Anolis sagrei: one gene and its partner. The protein of the gene in region 1 interacts with the protein of each later gene in a biochemical or structural test. Links are inferred from orthologs where the notes say so. Each region holds a gene or a part of one and is shown in the gene's direction. Other genes may lie near its edges.

Evidence for each region.
Region 2: the proteins of DTL (region 1) and KMT5A form a complex in vitro, tested with the Homo sapiens proteins (2 studies listed by BioGRID, with this or other methods). The link is inferred for Anolis sagrei from reciprocal best matches to the Homo sapiens genes DTL and KMT5A.

What each region holds. Positions count from the first base shown.
Region 1 is NC_090021.1:32,417,103-32,426,599, forward strand, and holds the start of DTL (denticleless protein homolog), read left to right. Parts: upstream 1-5,432; 5' UTR 5,433-5,502; coding exon 5,503-5,548; intron 5,549-5,870; coding exon 5,871-5,996; intron 5,997-7,444; coding exon 7,445-7,543; intron 7,544-7,728; coding exon 7,729-7,790; intron 7,791-8,630; coding exon 8,631-8,751; intron 8,752-8,986; coding exon 8,987-9,052; intron 9,053-9,369; coding exon 9,370-9,485; intron 9,486-9,497. Other genes in the region: INTS7 (integrator complex subunit 7), read right to left, coding at 209-255, 1,396-1,533, 2,409-2,555, 3,514-3,643, 4,945-5,035. UniProt on the Homo sapiens protein: Substrate-specific adapter of a DCX (DDB1-CUL4-X-box) E3 ubiquitin-protein ligase complex required for cell cycle control, DNA damage response and translesion DNA synthesis.
Region 2 is NC_090034.1:41,651,970-41,661,255, reverse strand, and holds the start of KMT5A (N-lysine methyltransferase KMT5A), read left to right. Parts: upstream 1-4,977; 5' UTR 4,978-5,063; coding exon 5,064-5,393; intron 5,394-9,286. UniProt on the Homo sapiens protein: Protein-lysine N-methyltransferase that monomethylates both histones and non-histone proteins. Specifically monomethylates 'Lys-20' of histone H4 (H4K20me1).

The sequences.
Region 1 (9,497 bases):
CCAGGCCCACAGAAAGAAAAAGAGCAACACATTGCAATCTCTAGGTCTTCAAACTGAGCTGCAAATTCATTGGGATATATCTGTCAAAATGCCAAAAAGATTTTAATTTTTAAAAAAGGAAAGAACCCCCACATCAGAAGCATGAATACAAGTACAAATGCCAAACTGAAAATTATTTAAAAATAAATTATTAGGTAAATGGCTGTACCTTGAATCATTTCACTGATTTTGTTACATATTCCTCCGGCAAAATCTCTATCAATAGTAGAGAAGAAGAAATTAGTTATAGAACTGAATGAACTACAAAAAGACTGAAGCTGATTTTTCTGACTCACTGCGACCACTAATGTTCATTAAAATGTTAGTTTGTTCAGATTATGCCACTGTAATCATACACAACTGTGCTTAATAACACAGGGAGAACAGAATAAGCAAACCCCAAGCAGAGGACACAAATTGAGGCGACAACTGAGAAATCTAGATCTTTATATCGTCCTCTTTTGTCAGCTAATACTGACCAAATGAACAAGATATTAAGCCAAATGATACAATGATGTAATTATGTCCCCATTACTCTTTTTCTCTGTAGGTTCTTTAAAAAGGCTGCTCAGAGTTTTGAGAAGTTTTGGTGAAGATAGTAACTTAAGATCTGCACCACTATTATTTCAGCATACCTTAAAAAAGACAATATCACATTTTTTGCCTCCAATTGTACTGAAAATCCAGAAACCCTTATTCTGAGAAAGCAGATATAGAGGAGAATGCATCTAGGGGCCCTTCCACACAGTCATATAACCCAGAATACCAAGGCAGATCATCTACAATATCTGCGTTGAACTAGGTCATTTGAGTCCACAGTGCCATATAACTCAGTTCAAAGCAGATAATGTGGGATTTTATACAGCTGTCTAGAAGGGGCCTAGATATTTTAGTTGCAACTAATTTTGTGCAATGCATAAAAGACTAACAGTACAATTCAACTTCTTATGAGTGCAACAGCCTGGAAAATGAAGGAAAAAAATCCCTGATTTTTATCCCGTCCTTTTCCTGAGCTCATTATTGATTTTGTATCAGTTTTATCCATCAATGAAGCAAAGTCTGCTACAAGACAATCACTTATTTATTACTTAAACTTTATCCCATTTATTACCTCAAATCTAGCAGCAACTAACCAAAAAATAAAACCAAGCACAATATTGATACACACTATATTGATGATGCTAGGTAAACAATCATTGTTCAGACTCAGTTTTCTTCCTTCTACAATAAAACACTGACAGATTTGTCGTAGGGATTGCTAATATTAGTAGATAAAGCACCATATAAATGGCAAGTATTCAATGTCACTGCCTTTGCACTCATGAAAAACAGATGTTCTGCAGGCATTCTACTTACTTGGACTGAGCAGAAAAATTAGCTGCCGCAAAAATAGCAGCTTCAACCTCTACATTATCATGAGAATCCAGACTCTGGCGAATACTGTGATGCGCATTTTTCCTTTCTGGAATTATGGATGCCATGCTACCCAACATCCTGGAGAACAAAATAGAGGAACATGAAGAAAGAGCTCAGGAACCTGCTTATGATGAACTACACTTTTAATATCTTGCCATTCCACCAACAACAACAACAACTTTATTTTTGTATTCTGCCACCATCTGCCCGAAGGGACTAAAGGCGGCTTACATGGGGACAAAGCCCAGTCAGAGAAAGATTAAAATATAAAACAGTAAAATTAAAATAAAAACATCATAAAACATAACTATCAACAGTCAAACTATCAAAACAACCAATAGCCAAACCTAGAGGCTATGTCAAAAGCCTTTTTTCCCTGCCCTTTTCACATTATTGTGCCATTTTTGATCACAATACTGCTGCTATCATAAAGCCTGCTTTAGGTATGCCTTGGTTCAGAATAAAAAAGGTGCTCAAACCAACTTGAAAACCTCTCTTTCAAGTAACAAAATAGACACTCAGCTGTTCAAAAATGTATCACCTAAACATAAATCAAAATGTTCTTTTTTACTGTGTCTTTTCAATGTTATCATACAATATTATTCAGTTGTTAAACATAAACATAAAATACATTCTGGGCAACTTTATTGCCATTTCTTCACACTGTTGAAATTGAAGTCTTGGGGAACAATTATAATCCAGTCATAGAATACACTTTTCCCTGCAGCTCAGTCAATCCCTAACTTATCCAATTAAAAATGAATCCATGCCACAGAACTGGGAAAGACTCCATCAGATACCCTGAAGATCATTTGCAAATCAGAGGAAACAGTACACAAACTAATAATCTTTCTCAGCATATACCTGCTTAATATGTTCACATTGCCCACTATAAGTGGCACCCTCCAGAATGCAGCATCTGGGCAGATCCTTGCTGAGTTAAGTGTGCATACCTGAGTGTGATGGCGCGTGCAACTGGATCGTTACTGTGAATAACTGAGAAAACTCTTTTCACAAACTCATCCACATTCAAGATCTTCTCCAAGTGTTTCTCACTCTGCTGAGTAACTTTCAAAACACAGAGTCTCAGGAAGTTGTTTCTGTTTTGAAATAATATTTTAATTACTAAAAATCATTATGTTTCCAATTTCTATAAAAAGTCTGAGGCAGGTAGCAATAGAAAATCAACAGTACCAAAGAATCACAACTACATCACAATGACAACTGAATGAAAGTCCAAAAAGTGGAAAAATAAAACATAAGTGGGATTTCCTTAGCAAGACTTGCTATTGTTTTCCTCTGAGGTTGAGAGAGTATGGCTTCACCAAATCCCACTTTATGATCAAGGTGGGATTCCAACCCGAACCTCCCTGAGACCTAGACCGCCACTCAAAATGCCATAATCATACTGGCTCTTGCAAATGAATTAATAATTAATAATCATAATTAAAATTCCAGTGCAGAGTGAAAACTCCAAGCAGATGTTATGGCACGTAAGAGTTCTTAAAAGGGTGACTTTGCCATATATCAAATGGGTATTAACAGGCAAAAGGCAAGAAGAAGCATCCCTCAATAGGAAATTTCCATGCTAGGGTGAGGGTACCTACACAGCTTTTCTGTGGTTTCCATAAAATACCACAACACAATTTCCACTTGATCTATCACTAAAGGTTCTTCCATACAATAGCTATAATCCGGGCGAGAACAAGTTAAGGGGGGGGGGGGGAGAGATGACATTTCCGCTAAATGCGCGCTCAATCGCAGCAACAGAGGGAAACCCATTTCAAAAAGAAGGGCTGTGAGGACAGCAGGGGAAGAAAGCCTGGGACCGATCTGTGCGGGGACCTGCTCTGAGAGCTTTTTATCTTTCCCCTTTTAATCCGCATTTTGGCACTGTATGGAAGCACCCTGAGTGGGCAAGACCTATACAGAAGAACATTTCCTAGTCAACCTGCTTCTAACCACAACGCCCCAAGAAATGGCTATCAGCAGTGCTTTGAATTAAAAGCAACTCAGTGCTTCAATACTACAAATCCAGAACATACAAGTTTAGCTTACCCAACTCTGAAAACATCAGCAAGTTTTAAAAATGCTGAGTTAATTAGAATCGGGAATGGATACTTCTGAAAGAGTCTGGGAAAACGGACAACAGCTTCACACTGCTCCCCAAGTTTGCCAGATCGAAGACCTGCAACAGAAAGTAAAATCAGCACAGCACCTAAAGGCATAGAAGCAGAGATAATGAAGCAGACTATGAAATGAAGCAGACTATGAATGTTGGGTGAAATATGTAACAAGGCCATCTGATGCTGGAAGTTAAGCAGGGTCAATTCTGGTTATTACTTGGCTGAGAGACAAAAGGAGCATTTAATTAATTTAGGCAATTTTTATCCCGCCTTTCCCCACTCAAGGGCCTAAGGCAGAGAATTAATACTGGATAATTCATGCAGTTCAACTGCTGTAGTTGAATGCTATGGAACCATTGGAGTTGTAGTTTTACAAGTTTTTTAAAGACTTCTCTGCCAAATTTTGTGTTTAGGCCTGGGTCCTATCACCAAGATTATGGAGAAATATGCAAATACAGGTCTTCCAGAGAATGTGTCCAGAGTAGGGCAACTAAAATGATCAAGGGTCTGGAGAACAAACCCTATGAAGAGTGGCTTAAAGAGCTGGGCATGTTTAGCCTGAAGAAGAGAAGGCTGAGAAGAAACATGATAGCCATGTAGAAATATGTGAGATAAAGTCATAGGGGGGACGGAGCAAGCTTGTTTTCTGCTGCCCTGGAGACTAGGACCTGGAACAATGGCTTCAAACTACAAGAAAGGAGATTCCATCTCTGAACATTAGGAAGAACTTCCTGAGTGTGAGAGCCGTTCAGCAGTGGAACTCTCTGCCCCGGAGTGTGGTGGAGGCTCCTTCTTTGGAAGCTTTTAAACAGAGGCTGGATAGCCATCTGTCAGGGATGCTTTGAATGCAATATTCCTGCTTCTTGGCAGGGGGTTGGACTGGATGGCCCATGAGGTCTCTTCCAACTCTTTGATTCTATGATTTTTTAATTTGATTTATGTCTAATTGTAGTGTATAATTGTAATTGTTTGTACTGGCATTGAATTTTTGCCATTGCTTATGTGTAAACAGCTTTGAGCCCCCCTCGGGGCGAGAAAAGCGGTATACAAATACTGTAAATAAATAAAAATAAAATAAATACAGTTTGGCGCCACTTGAATAGCCATGGCGGCACATAAATGTCGTAAATAAATAGTTTGGTGAGGAACCAGCACAATTTGGCAGTGAAGGTTGTAAAACTACAATTCCCAAGATGCCATCGCCTCGAGCCATGACGTGTCAGACAGCACTAATTCTCCTGAAAACAAACCCCGCCTCTCCCTTTCAAATTCCCCGCCTCAGGATAAAGGGGCGGGGCTTCGGTCAAACAAGGCCATCACTGTGACTTCGGCGCATGCGCACATCCCTCGCTTTCCCTCTTACCTTTATCCAGCTCCATGAGGGCGGAGTTTGCATCCAGTTCTTGTTCGCCATAGCCGGCGTCGGCAAGAAAGGATTTGGAAGCCGAGGCCATGTTGTTGTGTAGTATACAAACAAAACCCCTCACAGGAAAGGGAGGGAGAGAAAAAAGTTTATTATTTCCATTTCCACTCGGACACAACTCGGCGCGCACCGCCTTCCCTCTCCCTCACGAGCAGAAGCTAGCGCGCATGTGCAAACGGGCGCGCGTGCGCCTTGACGTGCCTAGCGCGCATGCGCGCAGTCCGGTTTTTAAGGAGTCGATGCGCATGCGCCACTGCAAGGAAAGCCGGTTCTCATTTCAATGGAAAGCTGAAGGGCGGTGGGCGTGGTCTCGCGAGGAAGGTGGTAAAGTGGGAACCAATAGGAAAACAGGGGCGTGGTTTGTGTTTCTGCTATAACCAATGGGAAGCAAGGAAGTGACTTTGGCGCGTAGTTCGGGTTGGCGGGAGTTAGGGGATGGGCTGGGAGTTTCAGTTGGCGCCGCGCGGAGAGCCAAGGAGGTCTTGAGCTCTGTTTACCATGCTGTGCCGCTCCCTCGTCCATCGCTGCCAAGGTGGACCGCATGGTGGGTTTGGATTTCTGTGCTTGCAATATATATTGCGGGGAACACATGGGGATTTTAGTGCCCTCCAGGTGTTTTGGACTCCAACTCCCACCATTCCTAACAGCCTCAGGCCCTTTCCTTTTCCCCCTCAGCCGCTTAAGCGGCTGAGGGGGAAAAGGAAGGGGCCTGAGGCTGTTAGGAATGGTGGGAGTTGGAGTCCAAAACACCTGGAGGGAGGGCCCAAGTTTACCCATGCCTGGCCCATAAACACTGAAGCAGAAGTGACCTTTGGTATTAGCAGCTAATTATTGTTTTTCCCCACCTTATTATTGTTTCTATGTAGGTCTGCTGCCAAGATTTTCCTTACAGCACCTTCTAGGGTGCTATTCTTGTACTAGAGAAGATGACCATCCGTCCTTTGGAGAAATGGGAATCCCGGTTCCTCCTTTCGGGTGCACCTTTTCAACAGGTACAATGGAGGGGGTTGTCCAATTTGTGAACATTTGTAGTTCTTTCCTTTTGTGTTTAGATTACGATCAGTAGTCCGCGGTGGCGCAATGGGTCCACAAACTTTTTAAACAGAGGGCCAGGTCACAGTCCCTCAAACAGTTGAACAAATTATAATTTGAAAAAAATATGAATAAATTCCTATGCACACCGCACATATCTTATGTGTAGTGCAAAAAACACATAAAACAGTATAGTAATTGAAAAGAACAATTTTAACAAATATAAACTTGTTAGTATTTCAATGGGAAATGTGTGCCTGCTTTTGGCTGATGAGATAGGGTTGTTGTTGTGGTGTGCTTTCACGTCATTTCAGACTTATGTTGACCCTGAGTGAGGGCTGGGTAAATGACCTTGGAGGGTTAAACCCTCATTTTGTTGAACTTCTGACCTGACGGTTGGCTGAATTGCTGACTGGAAGGTCGGAGGTTCAAATCCACAAGACAGTTCCTGCCAACATAGCAGTTCGAAAACATGCAAATGTGAGTAGATAAATAGGTACTGCTTTGGCAGGAAAAGACAGAGACACTCCAAGAAATCTTGCCGGCCACACAACCAGGAAGGTGACAACACAGGCTCTTTGGCTTGAAAATGAAGAAAGCACCTTCCCAGAGCCTGAGATGAGCACCACCTCCAGAAGCTGGAAATGAACGGAGAACCCTCTGCCTTTGTTTGTGTTTGTGTATCATATATAATTATAAATGCACTGACTCTTTGTCTGTGTATGTAAATAATAATAATAAACTTTATTTATACCCCGCCACCATCTTCCCCAACGGGGACTTGGGAAGGCTTACATGAGGCCAAGCCCGGACAACACATTACAGCAAAATAAAACCAAAACATAAGCAACAAGCAACAGCATCAAAATTACATTAAAAAACATATGAATACAATAACAAAGTAACATTCCAATAAACACAATCACAGTGACAGTGGGAAGGCCACATGTTCAGAATAAAATGTTTAAAAACTCGAATGAGATAAGAATAGGAGTAAGTTATTTGCAGGGAGCTCATAAAGAAACAAAGGATTGTGAAACTAAACTTCCCATTAAGTTGGAAATACATAAATAATAAATCAGGGAGAAGGGTGGAATATAAATAAAGCGTATTATTTGATACATAGCAAGATTAGTATACAGCAAACAAGGTCACTGCTGGCTTTTGTATTTGATCACCTTTCAGACACTTCCCAAGTGTCTAGGACTGCGTGATGTATCAGCGAATGCGTGCAGATCACAGACTGACATCTAGTCTTGATCTCTTAATACTGTCCTGTAGGTTTATCTCCATTTTACTTCTGTGTTTTTTTTGTCAAGTAGGTAAGCAGTAATTTTAGCAGAGTGTTATACATTACTGTTACTTGTAAAACTTTTAGAAACAGACATTTTGCTTATTTATTTTCCAGCTCCCAATGCACAACATATTCTTGCTGTTGCAAATGAAGAGGGGATCGTTAGGCTGTATGATACTCATGCATCAACAAGCAGCAAAAAGATTTTTAGAGGTAAACACAACACTTGATTGTGCTAAATTGTTCTGATAAATGCTGGGCCATTTTTAGGATGTGCTTAAACTTACTTGGCATTCTTGAAAAATTGAATTTCACAGCATACAGAGAGGTAAATAAATAGACCATATTCTTTTAACTCTTAATGATTAATGTGGATTTTGTTTTTTGTTTCCCTTCAGAATGGCAAGCGCATTCAAATGCTGTTTTTGACCTTGCCTGGATGCCCAGAGAACACAAAATTGTGAGTAAAGTAGTATTATCTTGCCCTTATGTTCAACGGGGCTTAGAAGAAGCCAAATTTCTAGGAAAGTAAAACATTATAGTCAATGGGCACAAGTATGGGAACATATTTATGGGGGAAATTGTTGGACCTTGCAATAGAAAGCTTGAGACAAAATTACTTCCAAGACACTTCTGATTCCATTAATTCTATAAGGTATATATATTTTGCATTCTAAGTACTAAGACACATCTGTATATCTGTTAACTTGTACTCTCAAGTCAAGCTATGTATATGCTTGTTTACTTTCTTCATGTACACCTGAGAGTAGGTCCCACTGAATTTGCTGGAGTAAACATGTATATAGCACTTCTCTCAAACTTTGTTGTACATAAGATAGTAAAGGTTTCCCCTGACATTAAGTCTAATTGTGTCCAGTTCTGGGAGGTGATGCTCATCTCAATTTCTAAGCTGAAGAGCTGACATTATCCATAGACATCTCCAAAGTCTTGTGGTCGGCATGACTGCATGGAGTGCCATTACCTTCTTGCAGAAGCGATACCTATTGATTTACTCACATTTGCATGTTTTCAAACTGCTAGATTGGCAGAAGCTGGGGCTAACAGTGGGAGCTCACCCCGCTCCCCACACTGGAACCGCCAACCTTTCGGTCAGCAAGTTCAGCAGCTCAGTGGTTTAACCCACTGCGCCACCAGGGGGCCCTTGCTGTACATAGTTGATGAAATATCAGGCTTTCCCTTCAAAAGGCCCTGTCTCAATAAGTTTATAGTCTGATAAGATATTCAACAGTTTGGTGTCACTCACTGCAAATAATAGTTAACTCATATTTTTATCGTTCAGGTAACTGCTTCAGGAGATCAGACGGCAAAAGTGTGGGATGTAAGGACTGGTGAACTTCTTGGGGTGTGCAAAGGGCACCAGTGCAGCCTGAAGTCCGTTGCTTTCTCCAAATTTGAGAGTGGTAAGTGTTAATGTTATCATCATCATCTGGCCATATTGACAATCCCCCTTTAAGAAGAGAACATGGGAATTTAAATCACCCAATTGCAAAACAGAGCTGGGAGTGTGGAGGGCTAAGAGCCTGGATTAGAATGGCCTGGACATATCTCTTGAAGAGGAGAGTTCCTCAAAGGGATTTGGTATTGACCTTTATCCCTTTTTTAAAAAATGAAGCATCTTATTTTTATATTTCACAGCGGTGTTCTGTACAGGAGGAAGAGATGGAAACATCATGGTTTGGGATACTCGATGTAATAAAAAAGGTATACTAAGTATCTGTTTATCTTATCTCCATTCTCCTTCCCCCAGCCTTCATAAAGCTTTGTAAGGCTTTTCCTTCTGCTGAGATACAAATATAATCCTGAAACTAAAGCCCCTTCCACACAGCTGAATAAAATCCCACATTATCTGCTTTGAACTGGGATATATGGCAGTGTGGACTCAAATAACCCAGTTCAAAGCGGATATTGTGGGATTTTCTGCCTTGATATTCTGGGTTATAGGACTTTGTGGAAGGGCCCTAAGTTTATGATGCAGTGGAGGTTGCTTTTAACATTTGTTCTTGAAAACCGCTTTCCAGATGGATTTTACAGACAGGTGAAACAAATAAGTGGAGCCCACAACATAACAGACAAGCAGACGCCCTCCAAACTAAAGAAGAAGAAGCAGAACTCAAGAGGCCTTGCTCCATCAGTGGTAAGGATCCAA
Region 2 (9,286 bases), on another chromosome or scaffold:
ATCACCAGACTGGGCCACAGCAACGCGTGGCAGGGGACGGCTAGTCCATATAAATAAAAATGTAATGTTCATTTGTGGGATTAACATAACTCAAAAACCACTGGACGAATTGCGGCCAAATTTGGCTACAAGACACCTATTAACCCAAGGAATGACCATCACTAAAAAAAAATTAGTTTTTCATTTGGGAGTTGTAGTTGCTGTGATGTATACTTCACCTACAATCAAAGAGCATTCTGAACTCCACCAATGATGGAATTGAACCAATCTTCCCACACAGAAGTCCCATGACCAACAGAAAATACTGAAAGGGTTTGGTGGGCATTGATCTTGAGTTTTGGAGTTGTAGTTCACCTACCTCCAGAGAGCACTGTGGACTGAAACAATGATGGATTTGGACCAAACTTGGCACGAATATTCCATATGCCCAACTAGGAACACAGATGGAGCTTGGGGAAATAGACCTTGACATTTGGGTTGTAGGTGAACTATAAATCCCAGTAACTACAACTCCCAAATGTCAACTCCATCTGTGTTCTTGACAATTGTAGTTACTGGGATTGATAGTTCACCTACAATCAAAGAGCCTTCTGAACCCCACGAACGATAGAATTGGGGCAAACTTCCCACAGAGAACCCCTATGACCAATAGAAAATACTTAAAGCCATCCAGTCCAACTCCCCTCACCAGGGCAAGAAAACGTAATCAAATACTGTTTACCCACAAGCATCAAGAAATTACATATATTAGAAACCAACACTTCCCCATTACTTTAATTTTCAGATCACCAGACTGGGCCACAGCAACGCATGGCAGGGGACGGCTAGTTTGCAAACAAATTCATTTAAAAAGAACAGACAATGTGATTTTCTAGATGTGTTTTCTCATGTTGGTCTCTCATAGTTGAGGTCTACCTATGATGTCAATTACAGGCTTCTCTCATCTTTTTAAGTGGGAGAACTTGTACATTTCGGTTTATGAACCCACGCGATCTCTTCGATCATCTGGAGAGGCCCTGCTCTCGCTCCCGCCCCCTTTGCAGGCGCGATTGGTGGGGACGAGGGGAGGGCTTTCTCTATGGTTGCCCCCCCAACTCTGGAACTCTCTACCTAAAGATATCAGGCAAGCCCCCACTTTGGCAGTCTTTAGGAGGAGCTTGAAAAGGTGGCTGTTCCAGTGTGCCTTCCCTGAATGAAGGAAATAATGCCTGATCTGACCAATCTCCTATACGTCCTCTAAAGCACTTTATCTATCCATTGGATTGACCTCCCCATACCACTTGTTAAAACCCCATACCTAGACATACCCTACTCTGTACACTCCCAGGGTTTTAAAAATGTTAATCTACATCTGGCCCGCCATAATGTTTTTAAATCTTTTTTGTGTTATTGCAATTGTATTATTTGTATTGTTTTATTTGCTTGCTTGTTTGTGGATGTATTGTTGTATTTGATGGGCTTGGCCTCATGTAAGCCGGCCTGAGTCCCTTCGGGGAGATGGTGGTGGGGTACAAATAAAGTTTTTTTTAAAATTATTATTATTATTATTATTACAATTGATATCTGACTAAATACTTTGTTCCCCACTGTAAAACCATACTTGTTTGTGGGACAGTGCCATTGTTTGTCCTTTAGAAGCACTTGAGAGGGAAAAGTCTTCCATATGATTTTGTTTTGTTTTCTATTTTATTTATTTTTATTTTCATTTGAGAAGAGAAAATACAGTTATATAGACATATATTATACATTTTGCACTCTTTTATTTACATTCACCCCTGTGCTCCCCTTCTCCATAGCCATCTCTCTTCCAAAAGTCCCACCAAAACATCAGTTCTTCATTTGGAGGTAAATTCCCATACTTGTTTTCCAATGATTTTTCTAGAAATTTTCTCCAGATACTTTCAAAGTCATTTTTTTACATAATCCCTTCTTTACTTTTAAGTTTGATGTTAGCTTATCGTTCAATGCCATTTTCCAGATTTCTTTATACCATTCATTAATCTGTATTTTCATTGCCCCCTTCCAATATTTTGCAATTAATAGTCTAGCTGCTGTTCATAACATGTCTATTATTTTTTCCCCTTATCTTTCCCATCCTCTTTATTAATTAAAAGTAATATTTCTACTGGATTCCTCCTAATTTTTATATCCATAATATTTTCTATTTCTGTTATAACCAATTCCCAAAACTCTTTTATATATTTGCAGTCCCACCACATATGCATGTAGGTTCCAATTTCTTGGCATCCTCGCCAACATTTTTCATTATTGTTCTTATTCATGTTTAACATTCTCGGTGTTAAATACCATTTCCAAATTAGTTTACAATAGTTTTCTTTTATTCTAATTGACATGTTTTGTAAGTGTCTTGCTTTCCATATCTCTTCCCATTCTTTTTCAGTTCTCATTGTTGCTACTCCCTCCTCCCATAATTCTCTTAATGGTAGTCTTTTCTCTCCCCCCCCCCCCATGTCTTTAATTAGTATTTTATATATTTTACTTGTTGTTCCTTTTAATTGCTCACTATTTTCTCTTTTCAATCCTTTTATTATGAACTAGCTGGCCCCTGCCACGCGTTGCTGTGGCCCACATGGGGGTTCTGTGTGGGAGGTTTGGCCCAATTCTATAGTTGGTGGGGTCCAGAATGCTCTGTGATTGTAGGTGAACTATAAATTACAGCAATTACAGCTCCCAAATGTCAAGATTCCATTTTCCCCAAACTCCACCAGTGTTCACACGCCCAAATGTGAACACTGGTGGATTTTGGAGAAAACAGACTTTGATATTTGGGAGTTGTAGTTGCTGGGATTTATAGTTCACCTACAAAATACTGTGTTTTCTGATGTTCTGTGGTGACCCCTCTGATACCCCCTCATGACCCCCCTAGGGGTCCCAACCCCCAGGTTGAGAAACGCTGCTCTTGATTGTAGGTGAACTATAAATCCCAGCAACAACTCCCAAATGTCAAGATTCCATTTTCCCCAAACTCCACCAGTGTTCACATTTGAACATATTGAGTATTCGTGTATATTTGGGTCCAGATCCATCATTGTTTGAGTCCACAGTGATCTCTGGGTGTAGGTGAACTACAACTCCAAAACCAAAGGACACTGCCCATCAAACCCTTCCAGTATTTTCTGTTGGTCATGGGAGAACTGTGTGCCAAGTTTGGCCCAATTCCATCGTTGGTGGGGTTCCGAATGCTCTTGATCAGTGATTCTCAACCTTCCTGATGCCTCGACCCCTTAATACAGTTCCTCATGTTGTGGTGACCCCCCAACCATAAACTTATCTTCGTTGCTACTTCATAACTGTGGTTTTGCTACTGATATTATAATTATATATTTTATATTACATGTAATATTACTAATAATATTACAATATAGTAATATTTAATACTGATATTGTACTATGCTAATAATATAATATATTGTATGTATATATATATCTCATAAGCCACTCTGAGTCCCCTTCAGGGTGAGAAGGGCGGCATAGGAATGTCGTAAATAAATAAATAAATAAATAATGTAAATATCTGAGAAGCGGGATGTATCGTCATTCACTGGACAAATTTGGCAGAAATACCCGATACGCCCACATTTGATTACTGGTAGGGTTGGATTGATTTTGTCATTTGGGAGTTGTAGTTGCTGGGATTATTAGTTCAGCTACAATCAAAGAGCATTCTGAACTACACCAACAATGGAATTGAACCAAACTTGGCACACAGAACTTGGTCTGGTGGGCATTGACCTTGAGTTTTGGAGTTGTACTTCACCTACATCCAGAGAGCACTGTGGATTCCAACAATGATGGATCTGGACCAAACTTGCCTTGAATACTCAATACGCCCAAATGTGAACACTGGTGGATTTTGGAGAAAACAGACTTTGATATTTGGGAGTTGTAGTTTCTGGGATTTATAGTTCACCTACAAAATACTGTTTTCTGATGTTCTGTGGTGACCCCTGACACCCCCTCATGACCCCCCCGTAGGGGTCCCAACCCCCAGGTTGAGAAATGCTGCTCTTGATTGTAGGTGAACTATAAATCCCAGCAACAACTCCCAAATGTCAAGATTCCATTTTCCCCAAACTCCACCAGTGTTCACATTTGGGCATATTGAGTATTTGTGTATATTTGGGTCCAGATCCATCATTGTTTGAGTCCACAGTGATCTCTGGGTGTAGGTGAACTACAACTCCCAAGCCAAAGGACACTGCCCACCAAACCCAGCCAGTATTTTCTGTTGGTGATGGGAGAACTGTGTGACAAGCTTGGTTCAATTCCATTGTTGGTAGGGTTCAGCATGCTATTTGATTGTAGGTGAACTATAAATCCCAGCAACTACAACTCCCAAATGTCAAGGTCTATTTCTCCCAGACTCCATCTGTTTTCATGTTTGGGCATATGTAATATGCCCAAATATGCCAAGCGTGGTCCAGATCCATCATTGTTTGAGTCCACAGCGCTCTCTGGATGTAGGTGAACTACAACTCCCAAACTCAAGGTCAATGCCCACCAAACCCTTACAGTATTTTCTGTTGGTCATGGGAGTTCTGTGTTCCAAGTTTGGTTCATTTTCATTGTTGGTGGAGTTCAGAATCCTCTTTGATTGTAGGTGAACTATACATCCCAGCAACTACAACTCCCAAATGACAAAATCATTTTTTTGGAGTGAAGGGCATACATTGGGTTGTTGTGTCTTGGGCCCAAATTTGATGACAATTTGTCCAGTGGTTTTGAGTTCTGTTAATCCCACAAACGAAGATTACATGTTTATTGATATAGATTAATAATATGAACTGTTTTATTATTAATAATAATAATAGGCACAATCCAAGCCCTCCCGACAGATGGCCAGACTTGGTGTGCCTGTGTTGTCGTTTTGGAAGGAGACTGACTGAGAGGGCTGAGTGTGTGAGAGAGGCCAGGGCGAGGAAGCCCTCTGGGCGGGAGGGGTTGGGCAATCGCGTGGCCGACGTCACAATGGCGGCGTCGTCGGTCGTCGAGGCGGCGAGGGCTGTGGGGCAGAGTGGGTGGGCAGGGGCTCGAGGGCGGCCATGAAGGCGAGCAGGGCCCCTCCGCGCCCCAGGCCCCCGGCCCCCGTGGCCCCTCCGGCCCCGGCCCTCCCCCCGGCGCCCCCCAGCATCGCCCTGGACGCCCCCCTCTCTCTCCCCGCAGGAGCCGGAGGAGGAGGAGGAGAAGGCAGGAGGAGGAGGAGGAGGAAGAGGAGGACGGCGGCGGCGGCGATGATGATGCCCAAGGGCCCCCAAGGCAGCGCCCAGGAGCAGGCGGGCCAGGCAGGGCCGGACTCAGGCCCAGCCGCCCCCTCCGCCGCAGACGCCGCCGAGAAGCCCTCCCGCGGGGCCGCCAAGCCCAGGCTCAACGGGGTAAGTGGGCTTCCCTTCTTTGGGGCCAGGGGGAGGGAGAAGCGCTGCGGAAGGAGGGCGGCCGGCCGGCAGGGGGCGCTCTCCCGTCCGCCTCCCTTCTCCCCCTCCTCAGCCATTCCGGCCTCCCCCGAAGCCACCCCTAGGGGGCCGCCGCCTGGAGTCCCACCCCCCCCCCCCCCGCCAGGCCACCAGCCAAACCCTCCCGACAGATGGCCACCCGCCTCCAGAGAAGGAGGCTCCGCCGCCTCTCTAGGCCAGGCGTCCTCAAACTCTTTGGGCCTTCAACTCCCAGTTGGCAATTGAACAAGTTCGTTAGGGCTTCTGGGAGTTGGAGGCTCAGACAGCTGGAGGGTGCTTTCTCTAGGCCTTCCGGACTTCCTTCCGCACAGCCCTCGAGCCCAGAATATCAAGGCACCGTAATCCCACCGTAATCCCTTTCTAATCATCATCATAATCAAACTTTCTTTTTTTTTTTTGGCGTAGCCAATTGTATTTTATTATTTTTTAAAAAGCATTCCCTTATATAGGTTCCCTGATAAATTATATCCCTAGCTTTTAGCAGTGGGACAACAATGTGCAAAAAGGAGTGTATAGAAATAGTCCTAAGAGGCACGCTGATGCTTGGAATTTAAGGCTGCACCCCCTTTGTTTAAGATATGCACAAAGTTTGGACTACTTTTCAGCTATAGCCTTTGGCCACCCCAATATTCCCTCATAAGGACTACATATTTACAGATCACCTTTTATATCCCGTCCTTTCTCAACCTCCGCAGAGGGACTCCGGACGGCTAACAAAGCGGCACCCCATGGCGCCCACATCAAAACATAAATATACAATTAAATAAAATATACAATTAAATAAAACTTTCTTTCTACCCCGCTACCATCTCCCCAAGGGACTCCGTGCGGCTTACATGAGGCCGAGCCCATAGAAGAACCATCGTAAAAGCAATAACAAAACATCAATACAAAACAATCAAAATAAATCTCACAAACAAAAAATAAACAGTAACAACAAGCATTTAAAAACCTATGGCTGGGCCAAAGATCGGAGCCAAAGCAGCAAAATCCATACTGGGGGTCAGAAATGGAAACGGTTTGGAATGACACAAAGCAGACACTGTCATTGTCATGTGTCTGCTTTCATAATTTTAAAGAACTTGTTTTAGTTTTAATTCTTGTTACATTTTAAGGTTTATATTGGAAAGTGTTTATTAAGTTAGTGTATTACTGATGTCATGGCCTATGGCTAGTACAATAAACCATTCATTCATACTATGGCTGGGCCGAATGTGAGAATAAAAAATAAAAAAATAATGCTGGGCATGAACAAGGTAGAATACTGGGATAGAATTTTTGGCAAGAGATGGGGCAAGCAAACAATCCTAAATCAATGATAAAGTGCATTTAGAGGACCTATTGCTGAGAGTATTTCCTTATTTTGGGAAGGCACACTGGAACAACCACGTTTTCAGGCTCCTCCTAAAGACTGCCAAAGTTGGGGCATGTTTGATGTCTTTGGGCAGTGAGTTCCAGAGTCAAGGGGCCACTACCGAGAAGGCCCTCTCCCTCACCCCCTTTGAGCCCCTGGTGGTTATAGCACGGAGCTGCTGAACTTGTTGACCGAAAGGTCGCAGGTTCAAATGTTAGCTATTAACCCCAGCTTCTTCCAACCTAGCAGTTCGAAAACATGCAAATGTGAGTAGATCAATATTTATTATTATTTATTTAGGGCTTTTATATCCCGTCCTTTCTCAACCTCCGCAGAGGACGGCTAACAAAGCGGCACCCCATGGCGCCCACATCAAAACATAAATATACAATTAACAATAATGTAATAATAACAATATAAAACAGTATAAACAGTATAAAACCGTCTAAACAACAATCCTATCTCATTAGGCCCACACTTCCCTTTGAAATACTATAAATTTATATTTGTTAAAATTGTTCATCATTTTAATTATTGTATTGTTTTTAAGTGTTTTTTGCATTACAAATAAGACATTTGCAGTGTTCATAGGAATTCATTCATGCTTTTTTCAAATTATAATCCGGCCCTCCAACAGTTTGAGGGGCTGTGACCTGGCCCTCTGTTTAAAAATTTGAGGAACCCTGGTCTAGAACATTGCCATGCAGCCCGAAAAACCTACAACAACCCAATTTCCTGCCTTGATATTCAGAGGCATACGGCTGTGTGGAAGGGCCCAAGATCTGCTTGGGATTAGGTTATCTGAGGCCCCTTCCACACAGCTGAATTAAACCCCCCACGTTATCTGCTTTGAACTGGGATATATGGCAGGGTAGACTCAGATAACCCAGGGCCCATCCAGACAGCCATATAACCCAGAATATCAAGGCAGGAAATCCCACAAGATCTGCTTTGAACTGGGGCCCCTTCCACCCAGCTAAATAAAGTCCCACATTATCTGCTTTGAACTGGAATATATGGCAGGGTGGACTCAGATAACCCACTTCAAAGTAGATATTGTGAGATTTTCTGTCATGATATTCTGGGTTATATGGCTGTATGGAAGGGCCCTAAGTTATCTGAGTCCACACTGCCATATATCCCAGTTCAAAGCAGATAATGTGGGGTTTTATTCAGCTGTGTGGAAGGAGCCCCAGTTCAAAGCAGATATTGTGGGGGTTTCTGCCTTGAAATTCTGGGTCTTATGGCTATGTAGGAGCCCTTCCACCCAGCCCTATATCCCAAAATATCAAGGCAGAAAATCCCACAATATCTGCTTTGAACTGGGTTATCTGAGTCCATACACAGATAATGTGGGATTTCCTGCCTTGATATTCTTTGGATATAGACAGGCCCTATATTTCAGCAACTGATCCCAGGTTTTCTGTTTATCCCAGATTATCTAGCTGTGCGAACTCATATAATCCAGTTCAAAGCAGATAATGTGGGATTTTATTCAGATGTGTGGAAGGGGCCTTAGTCCACACTACCATTTATTTATTTATTTATTTATTTATTTATTTAAAACATTTATATTCCGCTGTTCTCACCCCAAAGGGGACTGAGGGCGGAGCACAGCATATACGCAGCAAACATTCAATGCTGGGACACAAATTCACATACAATACATAAACATTAAAAAACATTTATCAAAATATTAAAATACACCATTTAAAAACGTCCTAGTTATCCCCGTCAAATCTAATTGGCCTGGTCATCTTTCCTATTGCCGCTTTATTGCCCTGTCCCGAAAGCTTGGTCCCACAGCCAAGTTTTTACCATCCTTCTAAAGGACAGGAGGGAGGGGGCCATCCTGATTTCACCAGGAAGGGAGTTCCAGAGCCGGGGAGCAATCACCGAGAAGGCCCTGTCTCTCGTCCCCACCAATCGCGCCTGTGACAATGGCGGGACAGAAAGCAGGGCCTCCCCGGAGGATCTTAATCTCCGCGATGGTTTATAGGGGGAGATGCGTTCGGACAGGTAATTTGGGCTGAGACCGTTTGTCAGATTTGTGTTGTCCAAGGCTTTCATGGCCAGAATCGCTGGGTTGCTGTGAGTTTTCCAGGCTGTCTGGCCATGTTCCAGAAGCATTCTCTCCTGATGTTGGTGAAGCTGGGGGATACCTGCTCAGACCCATGACCTTTGACCTGTGGGGTCCGCAAGGTTCCATTCTATCCCCCATGCTTTTCAATGTCTACATGAAACCGCTGGGTGAGGTTATCCTGAGTTTTGGAGTTGGGTGCCATCTGTACTCAGATGACACCCAACTTTACTACTCATTTCCACCGAATTCCAAGGAAGCCTCCCAGACCCTGAACCAGTGTCTGATGGCTGTGATGGACTGGATGAGGGCTAACAGATTGAAGCTTAATCCAGACAAGACAGAGGTCCTCCTGGTCAGTTGCGGGGCCGACCGTGGTAT